Linked DNA regions of Anolis sagrei. The protein of the gene in region 2 interacts with the protein of the main gene of each other region in a pairwise test. Links are inferred from orthologs where the notes say so. Each region holds a gene or a part of one and is shown on either strand. Other genes may lie near its edges. The genes, in order: ASB7, HMBOX1, ABITRAM and AEBP2.

Evidence for each region.
Region 1: the proteins of HMBOX1 (region 2) and ASB7 interact in binary tests that used the Homo sapiens proteins (3 or more experiments, as listed by UniProt). The two-hybrid records come from large-scale screens. The link is inferred for Anolis sagrei from reciprocal best matches to the Homo sapiens genes HMBOX1 and ASB7.
Region 3: the proteins of HMBOX1 (region 2) and ABITRAM interact in binary tests that used the Homo sapiens proteins (3 or more experiments, as listed by UniProt). The two-hybrid records come from large-scale screens. The link is inferred for Anolis sagrei from reciprocal best matches to the Homo sapiens genes HMBOX1 and ABITRAM.
Region 4: the proteins of HMBOX1 (region 2) and AEBP2 interact in binary tests that used the Homo sapiens proteins (3 or more experiments, as listed by UniProt). The two-hybrid records come from large-scale screens. The link is inferred for Anolis sagrei from reciprocal best matches to the Homo sapiens genes HMBOX1 and AEBP2.

Annotation. Positions count from the first base shown.
Region 1 is NC_090029.1:13,385,543-13,393,330, forward strand, and holds the start of ASB7 (ankyrin repeat and SOCS box protein 7), read right to left. Parts: upstream 3,387-7,788; 5' UTR 3,238-3,386; intron 1-3,237. UniProt on the Homo sapiens protein: Probable substrate-recognition component of a SCF-like ECS (Elongin-Cullin-SOCS-box protein) E3 ubiquitin-protein ligase complex which mediates the ubiquitination and subsequent proteasomal degradation of target proteins.
Region 2 is NC_090021.1:8,091,112-8,099,772, forward strand, and holds the start of HMBOX1 (homeobox-containing protein 1), read left to right. Parts: upstream 1-5,347; 5' UTR 5,348-5,503; intron 5,504-8,661. Other genes in the region: INTS9 (integrator complex subunit 9), read right to left, coding at 5,032-5,040. UniProt on the Homo sapiens protein: Binds directly to 5'-TTAGGG-3' repeats in telomeric DNA. Associates with the telomerase complex at sites of active telomere processing and positively regulates telomere elongation.
Region 3 is NC_090024.1:105,131,986-105,140,080, forward strand, and holds the start of ABITRAM (protein Abitram), read right to left. Parts: upstream 3,538-8,095; 5' UTR 3,468-3,537; coding exon 3,365-3,467; intron 1-3,364. UniProt on the Homo sapiens protein: Actin-binding protein that regulates actin polymerization, filopodia dynamics and increases the branching of proximal dendrites of developing neurons.
Region 4 is NC_090025.1:183,640,282-183,648,104, reverse strand, and holds the start of AEBP2 (zinc finger protein AEBP2), read right to left. Parts: upstream 3,313-7,823; 5' UTR 3,231-3,312; coding exon 2,503-3,230; intron 1-2,502. UniProt on the Homo sapiens protein: Acts as an accessory subunit for the core Polycomb repressive complex 2 (PRC2), which mediates histone H3K27 (H3K27me3) trimethylation on chromatin leading to transcriptional repression of the affected target gene.

The DNA.
Region 1 (7,788 bases), on a different chromosome or scaffold from region 2:
GAAAGGGTTTATATATCTGTGGAATGACCAGGGTGGGACAAAGGACTCTTGTCTGCTGAAGCTACCAGAGAAATCAGCCATAGCAGAGCACCTGATGAACCAACCTGGATACAGCATTTTATTTGAGAACACAGAAATGCGGACCAATCTCACAACCACCATGTCAGACTACATAGAGAAGCCATTGAAATCCATAAGCATGAAGACCTGGCTATTCCGATGTGCCTTTCTGGAATAGGATAACCTCCAGCACTACATCCCAGAAACACTTTATTAGAGCTTAAGACTCTCTGCACATTGCACTTACCCAGAATCCCAACATATCACCTCTTACACCCAGCACTTTTAACCTGTACCCTTTATTTGCCCGGCCCTGGTTTTATTGTGTAATAGTGTAATGTTTTGTTGTTGTTATTGCTTATGTTTTTAATTTGCTTGTATTATATTGTTATTGTCTGTTGTTGTTGTTGAGGCCTTGGTCTTTGTAAGCCGCATCGAGTCCTTCGGGAGATGCTAGCGGGGTACAAATAAAGTTTAATAATAATAATAATTTCAACAGAAAGGAGGAAACCATGAAAATGAACAAAATCTGGCTACCAGTATTAAAAAACTCTAAAATTACAATAGCACAACAACAGAGAGGAAACAAACAAGGACATCTAATCACCTCTCAGAAAAGGTTTGCTCTAGGCACTGTCAGGCCATTATATGCTAATCAAGGTGGTCAGTTGAAACATTCACACCTAGCTCCAGCAGACAAGAGTTCTTTGTCCCACCCTGGTCATTCCACAGATATATAAACCCTTTTTCCTCGTTCCAACAGACCTCACTACCTCTGAGGATGCTGGCCATAAATGCAGGCGAAAGGTCAGGAGAGAATGCCTCTAGACCATTTATTTATTATTTATTTACATCACTTATATCCTGCCCATATCAGCCCGCAGGTGACTCAGCCCGCAGGCGACTACATATCGGCACAATTCGATGCCATCAATACAATACAACAGCAAAAACAATTAAGTGCATTTAGACAAAAAAGACAGTGCAATAACAATTTAAAAAGAGCTATATCCTCTCATTCCAATCCTCATCCATTTCATCGTCTTGGCTGTTCCTGGGTCATTCTCCATCTCAAGTTTGACTATCTATTCCGAGGTTCCGAAGGCTTCCTCGAAGAGCCAGGTTTTTACTTTCTTCCGAAAAGTCAGGAGGGAGGGGGCTGATCTAATATCCCTAGGCAGGGAGTTCCATAGCCGAGGGGCCACCACAGAAAAGGCCCTGTCCCTCGTCCCCGCCAAGCGTGCTTGCGAAGCAGACGGGATCGAGAGCAGGGCCTCCTCAGATGATCTTAACTTCCTGGAGGGCTCGTAGGAAGAGATGCGTTCGGATAGATAAGCTGGGCCGGAACCATGGCCATATAGCCCGAAAAAACCTACAACCCAGTTGATTCCGGCAATGAAAGCCTTTGACAATATATTGTGGATGATCTGTCTTGATGTCCTGAGTTATATAGCTGTGTGGAAGGGGCCAGATTATCTGAGGGCCCTTCTATCCCAGAATATCAAGGCATACAATCCTACAATGTCTGCTTTGAACTGGGTTATAAGAGTCCACACTCTGATAATGTGGGATTTTCTGCCTTGATATTCTGGGATATAGAGTTGCGTGGAAGGGCCCTAGAACCCTTCCACACAGCTGTATAAAATCCACACTGAACTGGGTTATATGGCAGTGTGGACTCAAATAACCCAATTCAAACCAGCTATGGTGGATGATCTGCCTTGATGTCCTGAGTTATATAGCTGTGTGGAAGTAGCCTGGGTTATCTGAGGGCCCTTCTATCCCAGAATATAAAGGCATACAATCCCACAATATCTGCTTTGAACTGGGATATCAGAGTCCACACTCTGATAATGTGGGATTTTCTGACTTGATATTCTGGGATACAGGGCTGTGTGGAAGGGCCTTAGAACCCTTCCACGCAGCTGTATAAAATCCACACTGAACTGGGTTATATGACAGTGTGGACTCAGATAACCCAGTTCAAACCAGCTATTGTGGATGTCTTGAGTTATATAGCTGTGTGGAAAGGGCCTGGGTTATCTGAGGGCCTTGATATTCTGGTATATAGAGCTGTGTGGAAGGGCCCTAGAACCCTTCCACACAGATGTATAAAATCCACATTGAACTGGGTTATATGGCAGTGTGGACTCAGATAACCCAGTTCAAAGTAGCTATTGTGGATGATCTGCCTTGATGTCCTGAGTTATACGGTTGTGTGGAAGAGGCCTGGGTTATCTGAGGGCCTTGATATTCTGGGATATAGAGCTGTGTGGAGGGGCCCTAGAACCCTTCCACACAGATGTATAAAATCCACATTGAACTGGGTTATATGGCAGTGTGGACTCAGATAACCCAGTTCAAAGAAGCTATTGTGGATGATCTGCCTAGATGTCCTGAGTTATACGGCTGTGTGGAAGGGGCCTGGGTTATCTGAGGGCCCTTCCATCCCAGGATATCAAGGCATAGAATCCCACCATATCTGCTTTGAACTGGGTTATAAGAGTCCACACTGCCATATAACCCAGTTCGTGGGATTCTATGATAACGTGGGATTTTCCGCCTTGATATTCTGGGATAGAGGGCTGTGTGGAAGGGCCCTAGAACCCTTCCACGCAGCTGTATAAAATCCACATTGAACTGGGTTATATGGCAGTGTGGACTCAGATAACCCAGTTCAAACCAGCTATTGTGGATGATCTGCCTAGATGTCCTGAGTTATATGGCTGTGTGGAAGGGTTATCTGAGGGCCCTTCTATCCCAGAATATCAAGTCATACAATCCCACCATATCTGCTTTGAACTGGGTTATCAGAGCCCACATTCAGATAATGGGGGATATTCCACCTTGATATTCTGGGATAGAGGGCTGTGTGGAAGGGCCCTCAGTCCCAACTTCCATATAACCCAGTTCAAAGCAGAATTATGTGGGTTCTATTCAGCTGTGTGGAAGGGGCCATAATGGTCATAATCACAACAATCCCCACCCTACAGCTTGGTCAAGTGGGAGGCACCCTGGCATCCCGTGAGAGGCGACCCCACTCCTGGCATCGAATGGCATCACGGGGGCGGCGTGCGCGACCACCAAGGAAGAGGCCCGGGAGGCCCGGGTCGGGGGCCTTTTCCTCCCTGGATTGGTCGAGGGGCCGCCAAGTCCCGCCCCCGCGCCGGCCGTTACCTGTCAGTCAGCCTCCCTCTCCCGGCACCTCTTCCTCATTCAGAAGGCAGAGAAGGGACCCGGGAGGAGACGCCTGGCTGGAGAAGGCGAGGAGAAGAAGGAGAAGACGCCGCCGCTGCTGCTGCTACCTCCTTCCTTCTGCTTCCTTCCTGTCTCTCTTTTCGCCCGGGGTCACCGGGCAGGGCCTGACCTCCTCTCCCAGCCAATCCGCGCCCGCCTCCCGCCTCGCGCCGTCACGCCATTGGACGGCGCCAGCGTCCCAAACGCCTCGACCACTTTTTTTCCTCCTTTCTGCTCCTTCACAACCTCTAAGAGGGTGACAAATCTTACAGCAACACGTTTCTGCACATTTCCGGCATCAAAGCGACACCACTTTCAAAAACTCTTGGTTTTTATTTATTTATTTATTTGTCCTGTCAGAGCAACCAGTCCATTATATTACATTTCTAACAGAACAAAGCAAACAAACAGACAAATACAAAACTGCAGACTACTTCAACCAGATAAGTCAGCCATATTATTTGAGAACACAGAAATGCTGGACCACACCAACAACCACCATGTCAGACTACACAGAGAAGCCATTGAAATCCACAAGCATGTGGACAATTTCAACAGAAAGGAAGAGACCATGAAAATGAACAAAATCTGGCTACCAGTATTAAAAAAACTCTAAAATTACAACAGCAAAACAACAGAGAGGAAACAACCAGGCACAGATTAACACCTCCCATCAAGAGATTTTCCCAGGCTCAGGCAGGCCTTCAAATGCTAATGAAGGCGGTCAGTTGAAACATTCACACCTAGCTCCAGCAGAGAAAAGCTCTTTGCCCCACCCCAGCCATTCCACAGATATATAAACCCATTGTCCTAATTCCAACAGACCTCACTACCTCTGAGGATGCTTGCCATAGATGCAGGCGAAACGTCAGGAGAAATTTATTTATTTATTTAGTACGCTTGTATACCGCTAATATCTCAGCCTAAAACGGCGACTCATTGCGGTTTACAACAACATTAAAACAACAATATTCCAATTAAAAATATAAAACATATACATATACACTTCACAGTATTGGGCCACCAATACAGACCAATGCGTCTCTTAATTTAATCATGATCCTATTTCATTGTCAGTAATTGCCGGTCCTAGGTCAAGAATTTCCTTGCATCGGGTTAACCGAATGCTTGCTCAAACATCCATGTTTTCAGTTTTTTACGAAATACCATCAGCGAAGAGGCTGATCTTATCTCTATAGGGAGGGCATTCCAAAGCCGAGGGGCCACCACAGAAAAGGCCCTATCTCTCGTTCCCGCCAACCGCACCTGTGAAGCAGGCGGGATGGAGAGAAGGGCCTCTCCCGAAGAAATGCCTCTAGAACATGGCCCTATAGCTCGAAAAAACCCACAAGAACCTAAATACAAAACTTGTGACTTTGGTAGTTGATTAAATGTCCTTTGACAAGTATCTGGCCACTTGGAGTGCCTCTGGTGTTGCCACAAGGAGGTCCTCCATTGTGCATGTGGCTGGGCTCAGGTTGCATTGCAGCAGGGGGTCAGTGGTTTGCTCTTCTCCTCACTCGCATGTCGAGGATTCCACTTTGTAGCCCCATTTCTGAAGGTTGGCTCTGCATCTCGTGGTGCCAGAGCGCCTTCCAAGTCGCCCAGTCTTCTGTGTGCCCAGGGGGAAGTCTCTCATTTGGTATCAGCCATTGGTTGACGTACTGGGTTTGAGCCTGCCACTTTTGGACTCTCGCTTGCTGAGGTGTTCCAGCGAGTGTCTCTGTAGATCTTAGAAAACTATTTCTAGATTTAAGTCGTTGACGTGCTGGCTGATACCCAAACAGGGGATGAGCTGGAGATGTCTCTGCCTTGGTCCTTTCACTATTGGCTGCTACTTCCTGGCGGATGTCAGGTGGTGCAATACCAGCTAGACAGTGTAATTTCTCCAGTGGTGTAGGGCGCAGACACCCCGTGGTGATGTGGCATGTCTCATTAAGAGCCACATCTACTGTTTTAACGTGGTGAGATGTGTTCCACACTGGGCATGCATACTCAGCAGCAGAGTAGCATAGCGCAAGGGCAGATGTCTACACTGTATCTGGTTGTGATCCCCAGGTTGTGCCAGTCAGCTTTCGTATAATATTGTTTCTGGCACCCACTTTTTGCTTGATGTTCAGGCAGTGCTTCTTGTAGGTCAGAGCACGGTCCAGAGTGACCCCCAGGTATTTGGGTGTGCTGCAATGCTCCAGTGGGATTCCTTCCCAGGCCATCCTCAGAGCTTGGGATGCTTGTCTGTTCTTGAGATGAAAGCCACATGTCTGTGTTTTAGATGGGTTAGGGATCAGCTGGTTTTCCCTATAATAGGCAGTAAGAGCACCTAGAGTTTCGGAGAGCTTCTGTTTTACCGTCTCAAAGCTCCCTGGTTGAGCAGTAATGGCACGATCATCAGCATAGATGATCGTGCAACCAGCATGCAAACAAGCAAAAACTCTTGGTGTCGGGAATGATTTATTATTATTATTATTATTATTATTATTATTAACTTTATTTGTACCCCGCTAACATCTCCCGAAGGACTCAGTGCGGCTTACTAAGGCCAAGGCCCTCAATAAAACAACAACATAACAAATACAACAATAAAACTCATAAAGCAAACCAATAAAACATTAAAGCAATAAGAGTAAAACATTAAAACAATACATCATGACACATTTAAAACTAGGGCCGAGCCAAATGTAATGAATAAAATTAAGAAGTGCTGGACATGACAGGTGAAATATAAGGATTTTAGAGTAGGTGCAATGTGCAGGCAATCTTAAATCTCTAGTAAAGTGCGTCCGGGACATGATGCTGGGAGTTTCCTATTCTGGAAAGGCACACTGAACAGCCAGGTCTTCAAGCTCTTCCTAAAGACTGCCAACGTTGGGGCATGTCTGATGTCCTTGGGGAGAGAGTTCCAGAGTCGGGGGGAGGGGCTACCACAGAGAAGGCCCTGTCCCTCGTCCCCACCAAAAACGCTTGTGACGCAGGTGGGATCGTGAGTAGGGCCTCTCCAGATGAATGGAGGGATCGTGTGGGCTCATATACAGAGATGCGGTCACGCAGGTATTATTATTATTATTTTATTAATTGATTGATTGATTTCTATCCCACTTTCTCTCTCCTTACGAGGACTCAAATCGGCTCACAATCAAAAACATGACAACTTAAAATGTACACTCAGTTCTTGTGGGTTTTTTCGGGCTATATGGCCATGTTCTATATAGCCCGAAAAAACCCACAAGAACTGAGTGATTCCAGCCATGAAAGCCTTCGACAATACATTAACATGTACAATAATAAAAAGCAGTATTGTCATTATATATTATATATTATTCATAGTATTATATTTAATTGACGATTAAATATGACCATTTCCGCTACCTTAGCAGCCACCTCTCCACCAAAGTCAATATCGACACTGAAATACAACACCGCCTGAGCTCTGCGAGTGCAGCATTTTTCCGAATGAAGCAGAGAGTGTTTGAGGACCGGGACATCCTTAGGGAGACCAAGGTGCTTGTCTTTAAAGCTATTGTCCTTCCAATCCTGCTATATGCCTGCGAAACATGAACTGTCTACAGACCAAAGTGCTCAAAGTGGTCTTCCAGCAGTCACCAGCCAATCCCTCTCCAATGCCAGAGATACAGCTTAATGGTGTAGCATTAGAAAATGTTGACCATTTCCACTACCTTGGCAGCCACCTCTCCACCAAAGTCAACATCGACACCGAAATACATCACTGCCTGAGCTCTGCAAGTGCAGCATTTTTCCGAATGAAGCAGAGAGTGTTTGAGGACCGGAACATCCGTAGGGAGACCAAGGTGCTTGTTTATTAAGCTATTCCCCTCCCAACCCTGCTATATGCCTGCGAAACGTGGACTGTCTACAGACATCACATGCAACTCCTGGAACGATTCCATCAGCGCTGCCTCCAGAAAATCCTGCAAATCTCTTGGGAAGACAGGCGGACAAACGTCAGCATGCTGGAAGAAGCATCAGCATTGAAGCGATGGTCCTCCGCCATCAACTCCGCTGGATCGGCCACATTGTCCAGATGCCCGACCACTGTCTCCCAAAGCAGTTGCTCTACTCCGAACTCAAGAGCAGAAAACTGAATGTTGGTGGACAGGAAAAGAGATTTAAAGATGGGCTCAAAGCCAACCTTAAAATCTCTGGCATAGACACTGAGAACTGGGGAGCCCTGGCCCTTGAGCGATCCAGCTGGAGGTCAGCTGTGACCAGCAGTGCTGCAGAATTTGAAGAGGTACGAATGGAGGGTGAAATGGAGAAACGTGCCAAGAGGAAGGCGCGTCAAGCCAACCCTGACCGAGACCGCCTTCCACCTGGAAACCAATGCCCTCACTGAGGGAGAAGATGCGGGTCAAGAATAGAGCTCCACAGTCACCTACGGATCCACCAGAATACTGATCATGGAAGACCAACGAGAAATCGCTTAAGTAAGTAAAGTATTTAACATTTTAGTATTATTATGTTACAATATTATTC
Region 2 (8,661 bases):
TTCCCACATATAGAAATATACCGCTCCTGGATGCTATCTGTTTATGATGAGGCTGTAGAAAAGGAGACAGAGTTATGCAGACCTCCAAATATTCTTGGACTGTAACTACTTGTTATAGTCTAAGCTGGCTAGGGCTCTTGGAACCTCAAGAGTAGTCATGGGCCCAGTATTTGTCTCATTTGTTTATTTCATGTTTTTGTTTCGTACCTTTGCCACCAATAGGCTGAAAATATTCTTTTTCGGACCTTGGATGGAAAAGCTCATTTGGAAAGGCGCTTGTTTTTGGGATAGGTGCTTGAAATTAAGACTCATCCCACCAAATGGGGAAGGAGTTGCAAAATTAAAAACAGAAATATAAAGGGAGATATGTGTGTGTGTGAATCATCTCTTCCTCCCACATTTTATTATTATATTATTATACTTACCTTATTTATTTATTTATTTATTTATTATCATCTCTTCAACGGTCTGGAGAACAAGCCCTATGAGGAGCGGCTTAAGGAGCTGGGCATGTTTAGCCTGAAGAAGAGAATGCTGAGAGGAGATATGATAGCCATGTATAAATATGTGAGAGGAAGTCACAGGGAGGAGGAGGGAGCAAGCTTGTTTCCTGCTTCAAACTACAAGAGAGGAGATTCCATCTGAACATGAGGAAGAACTTCCTGACTGTGAGAGCCATTCAGCAGTGGAACTCTCTGCCCCGGAGTGTGGTGGAGGCTCCTTCTTTGGAAGCTTTTAAACAGAGGCTGGCTGGCCATCTGTCAGGGGTGATTTGAATGCAATATTCCTGCTTCTTGGGAGAATGGGGTTGGACTGGATGGCCCAGGAGGTCTCTTCCAACTCTTTGATTCTATTATTCTATGGTTGTTAATGTTTCTTCCAGTAATTTTCATCCCGCCTTGCATTCCTCAAGCCCCGCACATGTGTTCTGTATACAAGCTGAATGGGTTGGGGGAGAGTATACAACCCTGCCGTACACCTTTCCCAATCTTGAACCAGTCTCCTGTTCCGTGGTCAGTTCTGACTGTTGCTCCTTGGTCCTTGTACAGATTCCTCAGGAGAGAGACAAGGGGGCTTGGGATGCCCATCCCACCAAGAACTTGCCACAATTTATTATGATCCACACAGTCAAAGGCTTTAGAATAGTCAATGAAGCAGAAGTAGATGTTTTTCTGAAACTCCCCGCCTTTCTCCATTATCCAGCGGATATTGGCAATCTGGTCTCTCGTTCCTCTGCCTTTTCTAAACCCAGCTTGAACGTCTGGCCACTCTCGCTCCATGTATTGCTGGAGTCTTCCTTGCAGGATCTTGAGCATTACCTTACTGGCATGAGAAATAAGGGCCACTGTGCGGAAGTTTGAGCAGTCTTTCACATTTCCCTTTTTTTGGTATGGGGATATAAGTTGATTTTTTCCAGTCTGATGGCCATTCTTGTGTTTTCCATATTTGCTGGCAAATGGCATGCATCACCTTGACAGCATCATCTTTCAAGATTTTAAACAGTTCAGCTGGGATCCCGTCGTCTCCTGCTGTTTTTGGGATAGGTGCTTGAAATTATAACTCATCCCACCAAAAGGGGCAGGAGTTGCAAAATTAAAAACAGAAATATAAAGGGAGGTGTGTGTGTGTGCGAATCATCTCTTCCTCCCACATTTTATTATTATATTATTATATTGACCTTATTTATTTATTATCATCTCTTCCTCCCATATTTTATTATTTTTATTATTTTACTGACACAAAAACAGTATGTCACAGCAAACTGGATTTCGTATCACAAAATCACAAGTCAAACATTTCCCAAGCGTCTGGGATTTATTTATTTATTTATTTACTTTGCTTCTATACCGCTGTATCTCAAGCCCGAAGGCGACTCACAGCGGTTCACAAACAGTAAAAACAGTAGAAACAGCAGTGGTGCCATGCAACATATAACAATTGACTTAACACATTATCCATAAATTACCAATAAGCAATTACAATGCACAATTATTACGAAAAACAACCGTACCCAATCTTCTCATCATCCAAGCGTAGTCCAGGTTCGTCGTCCATTGTTCCATTCCTATGTTCCATTACCAGATTGCACTAAATTACTCAAACGCCTGCACAAACATCCAGGTCTTCACCTTTTTGCGGAATACCATTAGAGATGGTGCTAGTCTAATGTCCGTAGGAAGGGCGTTCCACAGCCGAGGAGCCACCACCGAGAAGGCCCTATCTCTCGTCCCCGTCAGCCGAGCTTGAGAAGCAGGCGGGATCGAGAGCAGGGTCTCCCCGGAAGATCTCAAAGTCCTGGTGGGTTCATAGGCAGAGATGCGGTCAGATAGGTAGCTTGGGCCAGAACCGTTTAGGGCTTTAAAGGCCAACGCCAGCACTTTGAATTCAGCCCGGTAGCAGATCGGTAGCCAGTGGAGTTGGCGCAACAGGGGGGTTGTATGCTCCCTGCGCTCCGCTCCTGTTAAAATCATGGCTGCCGAGCGTTGGACTAGTTGGAGTTTCCGAGCTGTCTTCAAAGGCAACCCCACATAGAGAGCGTTGCAGTAGTCTAAACGGGATGTAACCAGAGCCAAGTCAGACTTCCCAAGGTATGGGTGCAGCTGGCGCACAAGCTTTAGCTGTGCAAATGCTCCCCTGGTCACTGCCGAAACCTGGGGTTCCAGGCTCAGCGATGAGTCCAGGGTCACACCCAAGCTGTGAACCTGCGTCTTCAGGGGGAGTGCGGCCCCATCCAACACAGGCTGTAACCCTATGCCCTGTTCGGCCTTGCGACTGACCAGGAGGACCTCTGTCTTGTCTGGATTCAATTTCAATTTGTTCGCCCTCATCCAGACCGTCACAGCGGCCAAGCACCGGTTCAGGACCTGGACAGCCTCCTTAGTAGCAGGTGGAAAGGAGTGACAGAGTTGGACATCATCCGCGTACAGATGACACCGTACCCCGAAACTCCGGATGATCTCCCCCAGCGGCTTCATGTAGATGTTAAACAACATGGGAGACAATATTGAGCCCTGAGGAACCCCACAAGACAATGGTTGTGGGGTTGAACAGGTGTCCCCCAACAACACCTTCTGAGATCGACCCTCCAGGAATGACCGGAGCCACTGCAAAACAGTACCTCCAAGACCCATCCCCGCGAGGCGTCCCAGAGGGATACCGTGGTCGACGGTATCGAAGGCCGCTGAGAGGTCCAGCAGCACCAACAGGGACACACTCCCCCTGTCGAGCTCCCGGCGCAGATCATCCACTAAGGCGACCAAGACTGTGTCAGTTCCATGCCCCGGCCTAAAGCCAGACTGTGCCGGGTCTAGATAATCCGTGTCTACCAAGAATACTTGGAGTTGTGAGGCCACCACACGTTCCAAGACTTTGCCCAAGAAGGGGAGATTGGAAACTGGCCGATAGTTGTCGAATTTAGTGGGGTCCAGTGATGGTTTCTTCAACAGCGGTTTTATTATAGCTTGTTTTAAGCTCGCTGGAATCTTGCCTTCCCGAAGGGAAGCGTTAACCACCACCTTAACCCACTCAGCCAATCCCCCTCTGGCCTCCTTTAGAAGCCAGGATGGGCAGGGGTCCAGGATGCATGTGGTTGGCCTCATTCCTCCAAGTATCTTGTCCACATCCTCGGGTTTCACCAATTGAAATGAATCCATCAAAACTGGACAAGCAGGTGCTCATGTTACATCCTCAGAGACTGCCATTAACATGGTATCCAGACCAGAACGGATCAAAGCGACTTTGTCTGCAAAGAACTAAGCAAAAGCTACACAGCGAGAAGTCGAATCGTCAGGGTTCCCACCTTGAGTGGTGGGATTTAAAAGGCCTCTGACAATTCGGAACAGCTCAGCCGGATGGTTCTTTGCAGACGCAATAGTAGCCGCAAAGAAGGCCTTCTTTGCGGCTTTTATTGCCGCGGCATATGCCCTTAAAAAGGACACAAACCGTGTTCGATTTGGCTCACTCGGATCCGAACGCCACACACTCTCTAGTTCCCTCTTCCTTCGCTTCATCGCTGCCAGCTCCTCGGTGAACCAGGGATTGTGTGATGTATTTTCGAATTGATGCGTATAGATCCAAGTCAGGTGGCCTTTTGTAGTTGACAGGTCGTGATTTTGTCAATGTTTATTGTTTCCAAATGCTGGCTGAGATCTTTTGGCACAGCACCCAGTGTGCCAATGACCACTGGGATCACCTGTACTGGTTTTCGCCAGAGCCCTTGCCATTCAATTTTGAGGTCCTGATCACGGCTGAGTTTTCCTGTTTTTCATTGTTTTTCCTCAATGTGACTGTCTCCTGGTAGGGTGACATCAATAACCCAACAGTTTGAGGGACTGTGATCTGGCCCTCTGTTTAAAAAGTTCGAGGACCCCTGCCCTAAATGGTTCTGGTCCAATTTACCTGTACGAATGCATCTTCCCTTATGAACCATCTAGGACTTTAAGATCGTCTGGGGATGCCCTGCTCCGGGTTCTGCCTTCATCAGACGAAGAAGACTAAGCTTTCTACAGGAGCTCTTGGTATTACGTCCTGCACGAAAGGCTTCTCTGTGTGGACTGAATCCCAAATGACTCCTATTCCCTTTGTTGTTCATTCGTTCAGTCGTCTCCGACTCTTCGTGACCTCATGGACCAGCCCACGCCAGAGCTCCCTGTCGGCCATTACCACCCCCAGCTCCCTCAAGGTCAGTCCAGTCACTTCAAGGATGCCATCCATCCATCTTGCCCTTGGTCGGCCCCTCTTCCTTTTGCCTTCCACTTTCCCCAGCATAATTCCCTACAAAACCCAAAAAGGGGGCAGGGCCAGGGAACCTAACTATAATTGACAGGTGGCTTGCCCTATGATTGCAGCCAAAAGAAGCCACCTATCTGCAGAGTCCCTGAAACTTAGGACTACAACAAACATTCTGTGCAAAGCAAACAAAATTGGAGCTCCTGGTACAACTGTACCTGCACAGTTGTACTGGATCACACATCGCACAATTATTATTATTATTACTATTTAAAACTTCCTCCAAAGTCCTCCCAGACTCACCAGCTTCATGCTTCACCCCAGGCTCTGTTTGTGGCATGCAGTCTCTTCCTTCCTGTTTCCCAACCGGAAGTGCTTCCCGAAGCATCCTGGGAAGTGTAGTCCTTCTCTCAGCCTCCTAATGATTCAGGAGAATGAAGTCATGGGCGGCCATCTTGTCCTGCCAGCAGCAGAGCACGCCGGGAAGCGTAGTCTCTACTCCCTCCTCCCCGCCTCCCTCCTCCAACCGCCGTCTAATCAGCGTCGGCGCAAGGCATGCCGGGATGGGTAGTTCCCAGCGGCGACTTGGCGCCTGCACCCTGGGGGAGGCGGAACTACAAGTCCCAGGGCCTCCCCGCGGCGGCAGGTGGGAGCTTGGATGTTGATATCAACATGGCGCTTGTCAGGCAGACAAAGGCAGTCAGGCTGGTCTGATTGAGGGCAGGGAAGCTTCCCCTCAACTTCTCCTCTTCAGGGCTCCAGAAGAAGGCTCCAGGTGAGGCCCATCTTATGCTAGGGCAGAAAATCAAGAGTTGTTTCTGAAAGGAGATTTTGGAGGAAAAGGGAAAGAAACAGGAGAGATTTGGAAGGAAGAAAGTGGCTCCTTCCCAAAGTGACTTTGTGGGGAAATGTCAACAGAGTTTTGGGGAGGAAGGACAAGAAGAGGTTGGTTTTCCTCATTCTCTGAGGAAGAGAGGCTTCCTCTTTGTGGGATATAGATATAGAGAGAGAGTTTAATCTATCTATACTATATACACATCCCCTTTGCAGGGGAAGGTTTGTTTTCTTCCTCTCTGAGGTAGAAATACTTCTTTTGAACTAGCTGTTTTGTGGGATATATATTTATAGTATAATATGTCTATATCTATTATATATAAATCATATATCTCTATCTATATCCCCTTTGCAAGAGAAAGAGATAGTTCTTTTGAAGTAGCTATTTTGTTGGATATAAATTTATAGTATAATATGTCTATATCTATATATATATATATATATAGAGAGAGAGAGAGAGAGAGGGGGGGAACCATATATCTCTATCTATATCCCCTTTGAAGGGGAAGGTTTGTTTGCTTCCTCACTGAGGAAGAGATACTTCATTTGAACTAGCTATTTTGCTGGATATATATTTATAGTATAATATATTTATATCTATAATATAGATAGATAGAGATATATAACCAAGGGAAGGTTTGTTTGCTTCCTCACTGAGGAATAGATACTTCTTTTGAACTAGCTATTTTGCTGGATATGTATTTATAGTATAATATATTTATATCTATAATATAGATAGAGATATATAACCAAGGGAAGGGTTGTTTTCTTCCTCACAGAAATAGAGAGACTTATTTTGGACTTGCAATTTTGTGTGATCTATATCCATCTATCTATATAGTATACTGTCTCTCTATGGATATATATAGTATATTATATGTATATCTATCTATATCTATATATCTCCCCTTTGCAGGGGAAGGTTTGTTTGCTTCCTCACTGAGGAATAGATACTTCTTTTGAACTAGCTGTTTTGTGGGATATAGTATAGTATATTTATGCTAACCCTTCCATTGGGAAAATAGCTTATTATATTTATCTATCTATCAATATATCCCCTTTACATGGGAAGGTTTGTGTTCTTCCTCTCTGAAGAAGGAGACTTCTTTTGAACTAGTTGTTTTGTGGGATATAGTATAATATATCTATGCTAACCCTTCCATTGGGAAAATAGCTTAGAAAGAAGATACAGTATTATATATCTATACCTATCAATATATCCCTTTTGCACATGAAGGTTTGTTTTCTTCCTCTCTTTTGAACTAGCTGTTTTGTGGGATATAGTATAATATATTTATGCTAACCCTTCCATTGGGAAAATAGCTTAGAAAAAAGATATAGTATTATATATCTATATCTATCAATATATCCCCTTTGCATGGGAAGGTTTGTTTTCTTCCTCTCTTTTGAACTAGCTGTTTTGTGGGATATAGTATAATATATCTATGCTAACCCTTCCATTGGGAAAATAGCTTAGAAAGAAGATATAGTATAATATTCCTATATCTATATATCCCCTTTGCAGTGGAAGGTTTGTTTTCTTCATCACTGAGGTAGAGAGACTTCTTTTGGACTAGCTCTTTTGTGGGATATAGATATCTAGAGAGAGTTTAATCTATCTATAGTATATATACATCCCCTTTGCAGGGGAAGGTTTGTTTCTTCATCACTGAGGTAGAGAGACTTCTTTTGAACTAGCTGTTTTATGGGATATAGTATAATATATCTATGCTAACCCTTCCGTTGGATAAATAGCTTAGAAAGAAGATATAGTATAATATTTCTATATCTATCAATATATCCCTTTTGCACAGGAAGGTTTGTTTTCTTCATCACTGAGGTAGAGAGACTTCTTTTGGACTTGCAATTTTGTGGAATATATATCTATAGTATAATACATCTATATCTATCTGCACTGTAGTTATATATGTGTGTGTGTGTATAATACGCTCTCTCTCTCTCTCTATATATATATATAGTATATTATATCTATATCTATATATCTCCCCTTTGCTGGGGAAGGTTTGTTTGCTTCCTCACTGAGGAAGAAATACTTCCTTTGAACTAGCTATTTTGCTGTATATATATAGTATAATATATCTATATAATATATAGATATATTATACTATATATATATACAGCAATATATATATATATAGAGAGAGAGGGATAATCATATATATCTGTCTATATCCCCTTTGCAGGAGAAGGTTTGTTTGCTTCCTGACTGAGGAAGAGATACTTCTTTTGAACTAGCTATTTTGTTGGATATATATTTATAGTATATTATATCTATATCTATCTATCCATATCTATATCTCTCCCCTTTGCAGGGGAAGGTTTGTTTGCTTCTTCACTGAGGAAGAGATATTTCTTTTGAACTAGCTATTTTGCTGGATATATATTTATAGTATAATATATCTATACCTATGTAATCATATATCTTTATCTATATCCCCTTTGCAAGGGAAAGTTTGTTTCCTTCCTCACTGAGGAAGAGATACTTCTTTTGAACTAGCTATTTTGTTGGATATGTATTTATAGTATAATATATCTATATCTATAATAGACAGATAGATAGAGATATATAACCATATATCTCTATCTATATCCCCTTTGCAAGGGAAGGTTTATTTGCTTCCTCACTGAGGAATAGAAACTTCTTTTGAACTAGCTATTTTGTGGGATATGTATTTATGGTATATCTATCTATCATCTATATCTATATAATCATATCTCTATCTATATCCCCTTTGCAGGGGAAGGTTTGTTTTCTTCCTCTCTGAGAAAGGAGATGTCTTTTAAACTAGCTATTTTTTGGATATATAATATAATATAATATAAATCCACTTGCAGGGGAAGGTTTGTTTTTCTTCCTCTCTGAGAAAGGAGACTTCTTTTGAACTAGCTATTTTGTTGGATATATACATAATATAATATAAATCCACTTGCAGGGAAAGGTTTGTTCTCTTTCTCTCTGAGAATGAAGGCTTCTTTTGAACTATCCGTTTTATTTTCTGTTCTCTATATGTATTTGCAGGGAATAGAATACAAAAGGGTTATTTTCTTCCACTCTGTGGATGAGACTTCTTTTGGACT
Region 3 (8,095 bases), on a different chromosome or scaffold from region 2:
CATAGGAAAAACACTTAAGATACTGCACTGAATAGTGCCTTAGAGACTTGAATACTCTATAAATTCACTAGATCTCATCTGATTTTGAAGCTAAGAAGAGTCAGCCCTTAGTGGCACCTTGGTAATTAATTGCAGTAAAATTATGAGAGGAGCTAAAAAGATGGTTATCCTGAGCTGAGACAGATAGTCACACATATATATACACAAAAGGCCCCCTCTACACTGCCCTATAACCCATGATCTGATCTCAGATTTCAGGGAGTGAGTAACCCTTTCCAGTTCAAGTTGTAACCCTATTCCCAGATCGATCTTACATGAGACCAGGAATACTTCCATTTTATCTGGATTAAGCTTCAAATTGTTTATCCTCATTCAGTCCATTACTGACCTCAGGCAATGGTTCAGGTGCTGGATGGGTTCCTTGGCATCCAATAGAAAGGAGTAGTAGAGTTGAGCATCATCCAGATACAGATGATACCGAACTCTGAAACTCCAGATGATCTCTCCCAGCGGTTTCATGTAGATATTAAATGACATTGGGGATAAGGATGAGCCCTGCAGAACCCCACAGTCCACAGGTCATGACTCCCCCTGTCCAGCTCTCCGCATCATCCACCAAGGCAACCACAGCCTGAAACCAGATTGAAATGGATCTAGAAAACTAGATTATATGAGTCTTCTCTGCCAGATAATCTGGGATATAAAGATAATCTGGGGTCAGATCCTGGGATATAGGGGCGGTGTGGATGGGGGCGAAGTGGTATAAGGAGGAGAAAAAAAGAAGGAAAATGGTAGCAAAATCTGCTGGACGAATTGCCATCAAATTTGGCCACAAGACACCTACTAACCCAAGGAGTGACCATCACTTTAAGAAATGATTTTGTCACTTAGGAGCTGTAGTTGCTGGGATTTATAGTTAACAATCAAAGAGCATTTTGAACTCCATCAATGATGAAATTGAACCAAACTTGGCACACAGAGCTCCCATGACCTACAGGAAACACTAGAAGGGTTTGGTGGGCATTGACCTTGAGTTTGGGAGTTGTAGTTCATCTATATCCAGAGAGTACTGTGGAGTCAAAAATGAAGGATCTAGACCAAACTTGGCATGAATACTCCATATGCCCAAATATGGACACAGATGGAGTTTGGGGGAAATACACTTTGCCGTTTGGGAGTTGTATTTGCTGGGAATTATAGTTCCCAGTACAATCAAAGAGCATTCTGAACCCCACCAATGATTGAATTGGGCTAAACTTCCCACACAGAACCCCCATGACCAACAGAAAATACTGTGGGTTGTTGTAGGTTTTTTCGGGCTATATGGCCATGTTCTAGAGGCATTCTCTCCTGACGTTTCACCTGCATCTATGGCAAGCATCCTCAGAGGTAGTGAGGATAGCCTCTAGAACATAGCTATATAGCCCGAAAAAACCTACAACAACCCAGTGATTTTGGCCATGAAAGCCTTCGACAATACTGAGAATACTGTGTTTTCTGATTTTCTTTTGTGACCCTTTTGACACCACTTTGTGACCCCCTCAGGGGTCCTGACCTCCAGGTTGAGAAGTGCTGCCTTAAGGCCATCCAGTCCAAAATAATCAAAGCCCTTTTCACAAAGAGCCATCCAGCCATAGATGTTGTTGTTCATTCGTTCAGTCGTCTCCGACTCTTCGTGACCTCATGGACCAGCCCACGCCAGAGCTCCCTGCCGACCGTCACCACCCCCAGCTCCTTCAAGGTCAATCCAGTACCATGCATCCATCTTGCCCTTGGTCGGCCCCTTGCCCTCGGTCCCTGTGTGGATCATAATAAATTGTGGCAAGTTCTTGGTGAGATGAGCATACCAAGCCACCGTGTCTCTCTCCTGAGGAATCTGTACAAGGACCAAGTAGCAACAGTAAGAACTGACCATGGAACAACAGACTGGTTCAAGATTGGGAAAGGCGTACGGCAAGGCTGCATACTCTCACCCAACCTTTTTAACTTGTATGCAGAACACATCATGCGATGTGCGGGGCTTGACAAATGCAAGGCTGGGGTAAAATTGCTGGGAGAAACATTAACAACCTCAGATATTATTATTATTATTATTATTATTATTATTATTATTAACTTTATTTGTACCCCGCTAGCATCTCCCGAAGGACTCGATGCGGCTTATGCAGATGACACCACTCTGATGGCCGAAAGCGAGGAGGAGCTGAGGAGCCTTCTAATCAAGGTGAAAGAAGAACGCGCAAAAGCCGGGTTGCAGCTAAACGTAAAAAAACCAAGATTATGGCAACAAGAATGATTGACAACTGGAAAATAGAGGGAGAAAATGTGGAGGCCGTGACAGACTTTGTATTTCTAGGTGCAAAGATTACTGCAGATGCAGACTGTGGCCAGGAAATCAGGAGGCGCTTACTCTTTGGGAGGAGAGCAATGTCCAGTCTCGATAAAATAGTAAAGAGCAGAGACATCAGACTGGCAACAAAGATCCTCCTAGTCAAAGCCATGGTATTCCCTGTAGTAACCTACGGATGTGAGAGCTGGACCTTAGGGAAGGCTGAGCGAAGGAAGATAGATGCTTTTGAACTGTGGTGTTGGAGGAAAGTTCTGAGAGTGCCGTGGACTGTGAGAAGATCCAACCAGTCCATCCTCCAGGAAATAAAGCCCGGCTGCTCACTGGAGGGAAGGATACTAGAGACAAAGTTGAAGTACTTTGGCCACATCATGAGGAGACAGCAAAGCCTAGAGAAGACAATTATGCTGGGGAAAGTGGAAGGCAAAAGGAAGAGGGGCCGACCAAGAGCAAGATGGATGGATGGCATCCTTGAAGTGACTGGACTGACCTTGAAGGAGCTGGGGGTGGTGACGGCCGACAGGGAGCTCTGGCGTGGACTGGTCCATGAGGTCACGAAGAGTCGGAGACAACTGAACGAATGAACAACAAAAAACCAAGGGCTAATAAAAGGCCCTTCCACACTGCTCTTTATCCCAGGATCTGATCCCAGATTATCTGTTTATCCCAGGTTATCTGGCAGTGGGGGCTCATGTATTCCTTTTTAAAGCAGATAATCTGGGGTCAGATCCTGGGATAAAGAGCAGTGTGGAAGGGCCCTTTATTAGCCTGCCAAACATGATCACAGGCCATTACTGATGGAGGTAAGACCCAAGTCTAAATGCAAAACGCACTGCTGTTTCATATCTGCCTTCTCGCCACCCAGGTGGGCGCTTTGGGTGTGTTTTGGGATCCCAGAGAAGGGATGCTCAACCTGCAATGCTTTGAGAAAGCCTTTTTGAAAAGAAGATCATGCCCTGAGCCGCCTCCTCCCTCTGTTCCAGTTCTCCTTCACTCCAGGGCTGCTTCTCCCTTTACCTGGCTTGTACCATCGGGTGAAGTAGCGCTCCGTCACCCCGGGCACCGTTGCCATGGCAGCCGGCGCGTCAAAGTCTCCCCCTCCCCCGTGCAGTGCGCGCATGCGCCCAGCTAACTTCCTTCCCGCCTGCCCCGCGAGCCGCCGGCGGGGGCCCTCTCCTTCCGCTAAGCCAACGACGACCCGGAAGAGAATCCCAAGCAGCAAAGTACAGGAAAGAGAAGAAAGCACCTTCCTCTTTCCTTGAGCAGGAACTTCCGGGCTCAAGGGTATGACTATGTATGTATGTATGGTACATGCCACCTCTCTCTGGGAGTGAGGCATAATAACATTAGTTGATACCCGCCACGCGTTGCTGTGGCCAACCTTCCCTCTTTCTCTCCTTCTTTCCCTCCTTCCTTCACTCTCTCTTTCCTTTCAGTCTTTCCTTCTCTCCTTCCTTCTTTTTCTATCTCTTTCCTCCCTTCCCCCCTTTCCTTTCTCTTCTGCTGTCTCTTTTCTTCCTTCTCTATTTCCTTCCCTCCCTCTTTCTCTACATCTTCTTCCTTAATTCGCTCCCTCTTTCCTTCCTTCTTTCCCTTTTTTCTTTCCTTCTCTCCTTCCTTCTCTAACTTTCCTTCCTTCACCCCCTTTTCTCTCTCCCTTTTTCTCTCCTTTCTTCCTTATCTACCTCTTTCCTTCCTTCTCTTTGCTTCCATGCTTCCTTCTCCCTTTCCTTCTTACTTTCCCTCCCTCTTTCTCTACATCTCCCTCCCTTCCTTTACTCTTTCTTTCCTTCTTTCCTTCCTTCTCTAACTTCCCTTCCTTCCCCTTCTCTTTCCCTCCCTCTTTCTCTCCTTTCTTCCTTCTCTACCTTTCCTTGCTTCTCCCTTTCCTTCTTTCTATCCCTCCCTCTTTCTCTACATCTTCCCCCCCTTCCTTCGCTCCCTTTCCTTCCTTCTTTCCCTTTTTCTTTCCTTCTCTCCTGCCTTCCTTCTCTAACTTTCCTTCCTTCCCCCTTTTTCTTTCCCTCCCTCTTTCTCCCTTTCGTCCTTCTCTCTTTCCTTCCTTCTCTCTTCTTCCATGCTTCTTTCTCCCTTTCCTTACTTTCCCTCCCTCTTTCTCTACATATCCCCGCTTCCTTCACTTTCTTTCCTTCTTTCCCTTTTTACTTTCCTTCTCTCCTTCCTTCTCTAACTTTCCTTCCTTCCCCCTTTTTCTTTCCCTTCCTCTTTCTCTCCTTCCATCCTTCTCTACCTCTTTCCTTCCTTCTCTCTTTGCTTCCATACTTCGTTCTCCCTTTCCTTCTTTCTTTCATAGAATCAGAGTTGGAAGAGACCTCATGGGCCATCCAGTCCAACCCCCTGCCAAGAAGCAGGAATATTGCATTCAAAGCACCCCTGACAGTTGGCCATCCAGCCTGTTTAAAAACTTCCAAAGAAGGAGCCTCCACCACACTCAGAGGGTTCCACTGCTGAACGGCTCTCACAGTCAGGAAGTTCTTCCTCATGTTCAGATGGAATCTCCTCTTGTAGTTTGAAGCCATTGTTCCGCCTCCTAGTCTCCAAGGAATCAGAAAACAAGCTTGCTCCCTCCTCCTCATGACTTCCTCTCACATATTTATACATGGCTATCATATCTCTTCTCAGCCTTCTCTTCTTCAGGCTAAACATGCCCAGCTCCTTAAGCCGCTCTTCATAGGGCTTGTTCTCCAGACCCTTGATCATTTTAGTCGCCCTCTTCTGGATACATTCCAGCTTGTCAATATCTCTCTTGAATTGTGGTGCCCAGAATTGGACACAATATTCCAGGTTTCCCTCCCGCTTTCTTTCTTTTCTCCCCTTCCCTCCCTCTTTCTTCCTTTTTTCTGTATTGTCATTTAGCTTTTCGTCATTTAGCTTTTCGGGGCTTTTGAAGTCCCTTCTGCTGTGTTTTTCAGTGTTTTTATGAGTGAAGGACATACATTGTGTTGTTAGGTGTATTGTGTCCAAATTCGGTGTCAATTCCCCCAGTGGTTTTTGAGTTCTGTTAGTCCCATAAATGGACATTACATTTTTATTTATATAGATAACCAAGCATTCAAAGACATGGCCGTGTTAGTTAGGAGTAACAGTATGTGAAGGGACTTAGAAGCAGGTCTGAAAATGAAATGCTACTCAAAACCTTCCTAGACTTGGAATACAGAAAGGCGCCATCGACACTGCCATATAATGTAACTCGAAACTCCCATTATATGGACAGTATAAACCAGGCACTCTTGCAAGACACGAGAAACCAGTGTCATTGTGGCTGGGGTCCAGCAGTGGCCCCAGACAGACCTCTGGGTCATTACAGCTCCTCAGAGTAAATAAATACAGCCCATTTGGTGGTTCCTGCTCTTCTGGCTAGTTCCCTTCAGCCATAAAACCCACCAGTTACTGTCTCAACCACACATGAAAGCAAAGATAAAACCTCATAGTAGTTTAGCCGTAGGGTCACCATAGGTCAGAAACAACCTGAAGGCACAGAACAAGAACATGTGTATAAGGTTGTGCTTTTATGACTTCCACTTTCACATTAGGAAGACCTTCGTCACTGTAGGAGCTATTTGAGAATGATAGCAACTGACATGAGGGTGGTGGTCTTTCCTTCCTTAGAGGTCTTTAAACAGATTGAAGGGCTATATCTCAGGGTGTGTTGGCCTGCCTACAAGGAAGTTCAGGGATTTCTACAACAACATAACTTTATTTTTGATAAAATGTACCCTGACATTGTTGTAGTCATACCTTCATCAAATTTCATATTTAGAATCATAGAATCAGAAGAGACCACATAGGCCATCTAGTCCAACCCCTGCCATGCAGGAAAAGTACAAAGTACCCCTAACAGATGGTCATCCACCCTCTATTTATTTATTTTTTCAAAGTCTAGGTTTAAATTATACTGTGGGTTAAAACTATACTTTTGTTTTGAGCAGAAAATGTGCCTGTTTAATGTACATTATAATTGTCATACCATACTAGGATGTTACAAATTATTCTCTTAAGTATAAATAAGCAAACAATAATGAATTGAAATGTTTTATTATCAAAAAAATGTCCATGGTAAGCCAGTTAACAATACATATCCAACTTAAAGTTTAGAGGTATATTCCAGTCCTCTATTCTTTCAAGACTTTTAGTTAGTTAAGTGCTGTGTCAAATAGAGGAATGAATTCCAAATTTCAGGAGTCAAGAGCATTTTTTTTTACTCAAAATGTAGATATAAGACTTCTGCTACAAGTCATCTTTTTGACTTGTAGCAAAATCTACCTTTTTCTAGATGTTAACAACATCCACCTTACATATGTAAAAGCTACATTTTATCCCAAATGTTTCTGATCCACGGATTTGACCCACTAATATATACATGCATGTCCAGTTTTGTAGAATGCATTTGATTGAACTTCAACCTGGAGTAAATAAAATGTATGTACATAAATAAAGGTAAATATATAGATTTGAAGTACAAAATTTGAGTAACTCAACTCTTAATATTTAGCTTCATTTATGTGCAATGGCCCTTGGTATACTTTGGAGTTGGTAGCTTACACACACACCTGTGAATACCAAAATCAAATGGTCTAGTAGAATGGTGTCCCTTATATAAAATGGTAAAATCAAGGCCTAATTATTCAAAATATGTTTTGAAACTGGATGGTTGTACCTGCAAATACAAAGAGGTGACTATATAGAGATTGGCTATGTTTTTGGGAGATGAATAAAGAATATAAAACACTTTTTACACTTGAAGAGCTTAAAAACTTCATAAGACATTTGAAGCACATTTAAAAAACATTATTTAATGTGTATCTCATCTTTCTACCCAGATTGGGATTATAGTGGATGGTGACACTTTAAGATATTATATTGATGAACAAATCTGTTACTGTATGAAGTCAAAGTATGAAATGTCTCGTATCACATGTTTTCGGACTTCGGCAATTCTATGTTACACTCATAATGAAATCTTATAGCACCAAGTACGCAAGAATCCAGTTACTTCGGAAGTGTAGTATATTCTTTCCATCACTGTTTCTATCTTTAGCATATGCATGGTGTGAAAAACTTGTTCCGAATCAACAATTCACTCTCTCTACTCATTGGCTTCTGAAGGCTCACATACCCAGCTAAATTTAGAAAGAAACTACAACACAAAGCAGACAGCAAGATTACCTACAATCATCTTCTTACTTTTATCTGAAAAGTTCTTTCCTTCAACTATTCCATTAATGCAGCACCATCTTTGGCAACCTGCCTTGTTCACCACCTTTATGTTCCTGCCAAACACTTCCATCTACTGCATGGTTTGTGAAAAATATGCCAAATTCCCACAGGGAACTGCACAGATTTGTTCACTGCAGATGTTTGGCTTTATATGTTTAGGTCAACTGAACGTTTCTGTAAACCTTTAATGCAGATAGATCAAAGATCATGTAATTTTAATGGCAATGCAATATTAAATATCTTCATTGAGAAACTTGTTTATAGCCTAAGAACTGACGTACTCTGAGTACTATTTTTTTCTATTGACCGCAGCAATGGAAATGATAACTTTAGGTTGCTTATTCCATATTAGGGACATTAAAAGTAGTACCACTTCACATGTTTGTACCATATACAAGACAAAAAATCGACACTGCATGCTGTAGATACAATTGCAATATTAAATAATGGCAAAACAGTTTACAATTCATCCCTTATAGTTTTAGTATCCATTATTTTTGGTAAAATGGT
Region 4 (7,823 bases), on a different chromosome or scaffold from region 2:
ATCTAGGCTGCATCTGAACTGACATTTGGGAGTTGTAGTTGCTGAGATTTATAGTAAATCTACAATCAAAGTGCATTCTGAACTCCACCAACAATGGAATTAAACCAATCTTGGCACACAGACCTCTCATAACTAACAGAAAATACTGGAAGTATTTGGTGGGCATTGACCTTGAGTTTTGGAATCATAGTTCACTTACATCCAGAAAGGCCTGTGGACTCAAACAATGATGGATCTGGACCAAATTTGGCACCAATACACAATCTGCTCAAATGTGAACACTGGTGGAGTTTGGGGGAAAATAGACCTGGACATTTGGGAGTTGTAGCTGCTGGGATTTATAGTTCACCTGCAACCAAAAAGCATTCTGAACCCCACTAATGATAGAATTGGGCCAAACTTCCCACACAGAATCCCCATGACCAACAAAAAATACTGTGTTTTCTGATGGTCTTTGGTGACTCCCCCAGGAGTCTTGATCCCCAGATTGAGAAATGCTGGCATAGGGAAACACATGTGAATTAATGGACAATGTATATGGTTCAAATCTGTGGACTCAAACAATGATGGATCTGGACCAAATTTGGCACCAATACACAATCTGCCCAAATGTGAACACTGGTGGAGTTTGGGAGGAAATAGATCGTGATGTTTGGGAGTTGTAGCTCACCTGCAACCAAAAAGCATTCTGAACCCCACCAATGATAGAATTGGGCCATACTTCCCACGCAGAACCCCCATGATGAACAGAAAATACTGTGTTTTCTGATGGTCTTTGATGACCCCCCTGAAACCCCCTCATGACCCCCCCCCAGGGGTGCTGTAGCTGCTGGGATTTATAGTTCACCTGCAACCAAAAAGCATTCTGAACCCCACCAATGATAGAGCTGGGCCAAACTTCCTATACAAAAACAATACTATGTTTTCTGATGGTCTTTGGTGACTCCCCCAGGAGTCTTGATCCCCAGATTGATAAATGCTGGCATAGGGCAACACATGTGAATTAATGGACAATGTATATGGCTCAAATCTGTGGACTCAAACAATTTTGGATCTGGACCAAATTTGGCACCAATACACTATCTGCCCAAATGTGAACACTGGTGGAGTTTGGGGGGAAATAGACCTTGACATTTGGGAGTTGTAGCTCACCTGCAACCAAAAAGCATTCTGAACCCCACCAATGATAGAATTGGGACAAACTTCCCACACAGAACCCCCATGATGAATAGAAAATACTGTGTTTTCTGATGGTCTTTGATGACGCCCCTGAAACCCCCTCATGACCCCCCCCCCAGGGATGTTGTAGCTGCTGGGATTTATAGTTCACCTGCAACCAAAAATTTATTTTATTTATTTGGGGTTCTTGTACCCCGCCCTTCTCACCCTGTAGGGGACCCAGGGCGGCTTACAACAGCAAAGGCACGCTTAGATGCCTGCCACACAAAACAATCATCACAGAAGTGCAACAATTCATAGTTACCACAATTCAAGCCATTATCCCAATAAAAACAATAAAAAATCGATAAAATCGATAAAATCAATAAAATCAATACAAACCTAATTCTTCCTCCTACCCTATCAGTGTACACTAACTCACAGATCTGTTTTTGATTTCACTTCGACAATCCTGCTGATCTTGCACATCTGATTGTCTTATTTAATTGTCTTATTTAATTGCCTGGTTGCCCAAAGGCCTGGTTCCACAACCATGTCTTCACCCTCCTCCTGAAGGAGAGGAGGGAGGGTGATGCTCTGATTTCCCTCGGGAGTGAGTTCCACAGGTGAGGGGCCACCACTGAGAAGGCCCTGCTTCTCGTCCCCACCAGCCTCACTTGTGACAGTGGTGGGGTCGAGAGCAGGGCCTCCCCAGATGATCTCAAACTCCGAGGTGGGACGTAAAGCATTCTGAACCCCACTAATGATAGAATTGGGCCACACTTCCCACGCAGAACCCCCATGATGAACAGAAAATACTGTGTTTTCTGATGGTCTTTGATGACCCCCTGAAACCCCCTCATGACCCCCCCCCCAGGGGTGTTGTAGCTGCTGGGATTTATAGTTCACCTGCAACCAAAAAGCATTCTGAAACCCCACTAATGATAGAATTGGGCCAAACTTCCCACACAGAACCCCCATGATGAACAGAAAATACTGTGTTTCCTGATGGTCTTTAGCAACCCCCCCCCCTCCAGGGGCCCCCATCCCCTACTTAGTGTGATGAGGTCCTAAGTCCAAAACTTGAGGGAGGGCTGCAGTTTGGCCATGCCTGGTATAAAAGTGATTTTAAGAAAGGGGGGCAAAGGGAGTGTCTACACTGCAGCGTGAATGCAGTTGGACTCCATCCCTCAAGGCAAAGAACCCTGCACAGTTCCCCAGCACTCAAGGCAAAGGACCTATGCTGATAAGAGACAGGGAATTCAAGAGAGCACCTATTCCAAACCAGGGAAGGAAGGAAGAGAGGGAAAGGAAGGGAAGGGGATGGAGGCGCTAATTTCGGACCTGTCCTCGGAGTCCATGCGGCTGAGAGGCTCTCCGTCGGAGGAGGAGACCTCCATGCTGCCCCTGCGTCCGCCCGACGAGGCGCTGCACGTACTGCCTCCTCCTCCTCCTCTTTCTCCTTCTCCCCCGGCTTCTCCTTCGCTGCCTCCGCTGCGGCTGCTGTAGCCCTCGTCGCGGCTGGATTCGCTGCTGGAGCAGGACGAGGAGGCGGAGGAGACACTGCTGCTGCTGCTGCTTCCTCCGCCAATGAGGCCTCCTCCTCCTCCTTCTCCGCCGTCGTCGCTCTTGCCGCTTCCTCCTCCTCCTCCTTCGATGGCGGAGATTTCCGTCAAAGGCCCCGCTAGGCCTCCTCCTCCTCCGCCTCCTCCCAGTGGCAAGGCCTTGGCGTCGGCTTCCGGGCTGAGGGAGCGGGTCTCGTCGCTGCAGCACCCGCTGGAGGAATCCTCGTCGTCGTCCTCCTCCACTTCATCGTCCTCCTCCTCCTCGTCGTCTCCGTCTCCCGCCTGGCTGGCGCTCTCCGGGCTGGACTCCGACATGCTCTCCGCCCCCTCTCCGCTCAGCAGCAGCGCCGTGGGCTCAGCCTCAGAAACGGGCGAGGCCTCGGCCTCCATTTCCACCAGCGGCGAGGGAGAGGCCTCCTCAGAGGCGCCTGGAGGAGGAAGGAGAAGAGGAGGAGGAGGACAGAGCAACGGGGAGCCGCCTTCGCCGCTGCTCAGCTCGGCCGCCATGTTGTCGCCTTCCCCTCCCTTCTTCCCGTCTCTCTCTCTCCCTCACGAAAAAAGGGGAGGAGCTTCCCACTGCAGCGGGATGACGGACGGACGGACGGACGGAGGGAGGGAAGGAGCGTGCGCGCGGGCGGGCGGTTGGCTGGCGGCGAGGGTGCGCATGCGCGGCCTGGCGCGCGCGCGTTATGGAAGCCGCCTGGGGACAAAAGTGAGGCAAGGACAGGCAGCCCGTCCAACTGCGCTTGGAGGCAAAGCGAGGTGGGAGGCGAGGGATAAGCGCAGAAGGCCGAGGGAAATAGGGACGTTCAAGAATGTATGAACCAGTTATTGTTGTTGTTGTCCAGCCTCTGTTTAAAAGCTTCCAAAGAAGGAACCTCTACCACTCTCCCGAGGCAGAGAGTTCCACTGTTGAACGTCTCTTAACAGTCAGGAAGTTAAGTTAACAGTCAGGAGGTTAACTCAGACATCAGAAGAGCTGCAAAACCGAGAACAAGCCACGAAAGTAAAGATGAAGATCCACCCAGAGGAAAAGTGTTTGATGATGTTTTTGATTTTTGCTAGATTGATATTTTAGATTGTGTCTTGAATTTTGTACCTTGTTCTTCTATGTTGTACACCGCAGTGAGTCGCCCCTGGGCTGAGAACTGCGGTATATAAGCAAAGTAAATAAATAAATCAAGGGAACCACTGACCACATAGGGAAATTGATGAGGAAACACAACGTACAAACCACTTACAGACCCACCAAGAAAATCCAACAAATGCTACGTTCAGCAAAGGACAAGAGGGATCCTCTCACCTCTGCAGGAGTCTACCGTATACCATGCAGCTGTGGACAAGTCTACATAGGGACCACCAAACGCAGCGCCCAGACACGCATCAAGGAACATGAAAGGCACTGCAACTACTCCAACCAGAGAAGTCAGCCATAGCAGAGCACCTGATGAACCAGCCTGGACACAGCATATTAGTATAAAAGTATGATAAGTATAAAATTGTGTGCTGAAATAAAACATATTATACATAAGAGGCAAAAACCAGCACCTATTAATCACCAATTAAAATCCAGTTGGCATTGGAATCAATTAAAAACCTCCATTGCTTACGATATAGTCAACTGTTTTCAAAGGCCTGCTTCCATATCCATGTTTATAGTTATTATCCAATAGCAGAGCACCTGATGAACCAGTCTGGACACAGCATATTATTTGAGAACACAGAAATGCTGGACCACACCAACAACCACCATGTCAGACTACACAGAGAAGCCACTGAAATCCACAAGCATGTGGACAATTTCAACAGAAAGGAGGAAACCATGAAGATGAACAAAATCTGGCTACCAGTATTAAAAAACTCAAAAATTACAACAGCAAAACAGAGAGTAAACAATCAGGCACATCAATTCACTCTCAACAAGAGATTCCCCCCAGGCGCTTCCAGGCCATTGAATGCAAATCAAGGTGATCAGCTGAAACATTACCCTGGTTATTCCAGATATATAAACCAATTTTTCCTACTTCCAACAGACCTCACTACCTCTGAGGATGCTTGCCATAGATGCAGGCGAAACGTCAGGAGAAAAATTGCCTCCAGAACATGGCCATATAGCCCGGAAAAACCTACAAAAACCCAGTCAGGAAGTTCTTCCTAATGTTCAGATGGATTCTTATTTCTTGTAGAAATCTCATTGTTCCATTGCATCCTAGTCTCCAGGGCAGCAGAAAACAAGCTTGCTCCCTCCTCCCTCTTAACTTCCTCTCACATATTTATACATGGGTTGTTGTAGGTTTTTTCGGGCTATACGGCCATGGTCTAGACTAGAGGCATTCTCTCCTGACGTTTCGCCTGCATCTATGGCAAGCATCCTCAGAGGTAGTGAGGTCTGTTGGAACTAGGAAAATGGGTTTATATATCTGTGGAATGACCAGGGTGGGGCAAAGGACTCTTGTCTGCTGGAGCTAGGTGTGAATGTTTTCAACAATTCAGAGTGCTGGTTTTGATCTACAAAACCCTTTACGGCTCTGGCCCAGCGTACCTGTCCGAACGTATCTCCTTCTACATCCCACCTTGGAGTTTAAGATCTTTAGGGGAGGCCCTGCTCTCAGCCCCACCTTTATCACAAGTGAGACTGGTGGGGATGAGGGACAGGGCCTTCTCGGTGGTGGCCCCTCGCCTGTGGAATGCACTCCCCGGGGAAATTAAGTCATCAACATCCCTCCTCTCTTTCAGAAGGAAGTTAAAAACCTGGATATGGGACCAGGCCTTTGGGTAAGCTGGCAGATGGATAAAGGACAACGACAACCAGAGTAGGAAAGGACAATTGACAATGCTGGATGGATTATAGCAGGGGTCCTCAAACTAAGGCCCAGGGGCCGGATGCGGCCCTCCAAGGTCACTTACCCAGCCCTCGCTCAGGGTCAACCTAAGTCTGAAATGACTTGAAAGCACACAACAACAATAATCCTATCTCATCAGCCAAAAGCAGGCCCACACTTCCCATTGAAATACTAATAAGTTTGTATTTGTTAAAAATGTTCTTCATTTTAATTATTGTATTGTTTTTAAGTGTCTTTTGCACTACAAGTAAGATATGTGCAGTGTGCATAAGAATTCATTCATTTTTTTCCCCAGGCTATAATCCGGCCCTCCAACTGTTTGAGGGACTGTGACCTGGCCCTCTGTTTAAAAAGTTTGAGGACCCCTGGATTATGGATTTATGAATTGGCAAACATTGACCACAAGATGATTTTATTGCTGCTATTGTATTAATTTGATTGTTTTAACTAGTTATAACTGTTATCGTTATATTGTATTATATTGTAGACAGCAGTGATAGCTGACAGGTCTGATGTGACGATGTGAGCTAGCTGGAGGTATGTGGAAGTCTTCCAGCAAGTGTTCCATTTTGTATGCAGTCTACTTGGCTAGTGGGAATAGGGACTCAATTAGAGTTACCAGGACCTTGGTTGACTACTGAAGTGTCAGATATTCTATGGTTCTGCAAATCAAAAAGTCCCAGTGCTCCCAGTTTATGAGGCCTGTTTTCACCACATCACTGTTGTTCATGGTTGAGATGAGGATGCAGATGGTAGGAGACGTCTGGAAAGGAGCAGGAGGCTAGTTGGGGAAGTCATGCTAGAGCTACAGGTGACAGTTTTTCCATCCCTGGGTGCAGATGCAGAAAATGTTAGAATCACCTGATCCCTGCTTGGAGAACTAGTAAGTGGCAACACAGTTCATTAATTTACTCCTGTGAATCTACACGTTGCAGACTTGTCAGACCAAAAGCTGGGGAGACTTTGGCATCTTTATTGGTTGGGTAGAAGAGGGAATTTTTGATGCAACCAAGTAATAAGCAACACCTGCTAAAAATCCCCTCTTGTGCACAACTATAAAAGGTACAAAAACCCTCTCCTGTGTTAGCTCTGGCATCCTGACACATTAGTCTGTTTTCTGAAGCAAAGGTTGTCTGCAATCATAACCCACTAAACAGAACACATTCAATCTAGACTGGCATTGACCAGCATTGAGTTAGATTAGTTGACCCCAGTGTCTCTTCCAGCTGTAGAATTCTGTGATTCAGTGATTCCAAATTAGTGAAACCTTTCCCGCCTTCATGCTAACTGTTGCACAAACAGCCCATTCTTTGTGTGGCTTTCTCGAATCTTCCATGCCGCACATGGTTCTATCTGTTAATTGGATCCCGTAGACCTCCTTTATGGTGTCAGGTTTCTCCCAGCCAGTCGAAATTGGCCCTTGTCCATGGGCTTGAACTGCCGGTGACCCTATCCATCACGCAAGCTTGACTCTGTCTACACAGATTACTGGGCAAAACCCATGATTGGCTTGGATTTCATCCCAAAGGAGGAGCAAATGGCAGATTTCTGCACTATTACAGTGGGAGCAACTGGAGGCTTTACCCAAATATCTTGAAGCTATTAAGAACGCAACAAAATCTTCTCAAACAAAGGGAAACAAGACACTCACTCATACTGTGAGCTCAGCAAATAACAAGGCCATATAGAAAAAGTACACCCACCTTCCCCTTTTAAAGTTCTAGTCTACACTCATCTTCCAAAATAGTTCAGGCAGTGTTTCTATACAGATGTAACCAATAAAGTCCCACTGGACTTGCAGGATTGTGCTTTGAATAGGCCTGCATAGAATTTCATTGTAAACTTTTCGTTAAATGGATACTCTAAACCTGTCATTTTAACATCCTTTTTTGTGGAAAATACCTTGGGGTGTATTAAATGCCTACTTATTATGTAAGTAAAAAGTTCAAAACCCTATTGCCTTTGGGTTTCAAAATCCTTTTGCCTTTGAACACAGCCACCCTCGGAGTGCCAACCACCTGAGAACTATTCTAAAATTGAATGAGATTATTGGGCTGAAATGAGTTCCCAACCGTTAAACCGGGAACCAGTGTGGTCTAATGGTTCATGCCTTGGACTTCTGCTCTGGAGAATAGGGTTCGAATCCCCTCTCAGCTGTAGAAAACCACAGGGTGACCTTGTGCAGGTTGAACACTCTCAGCCTCAGAGGAAGGCAAAGACTCTGGATGAATCTTGCCAAGAAAACCCTGTGATAGGT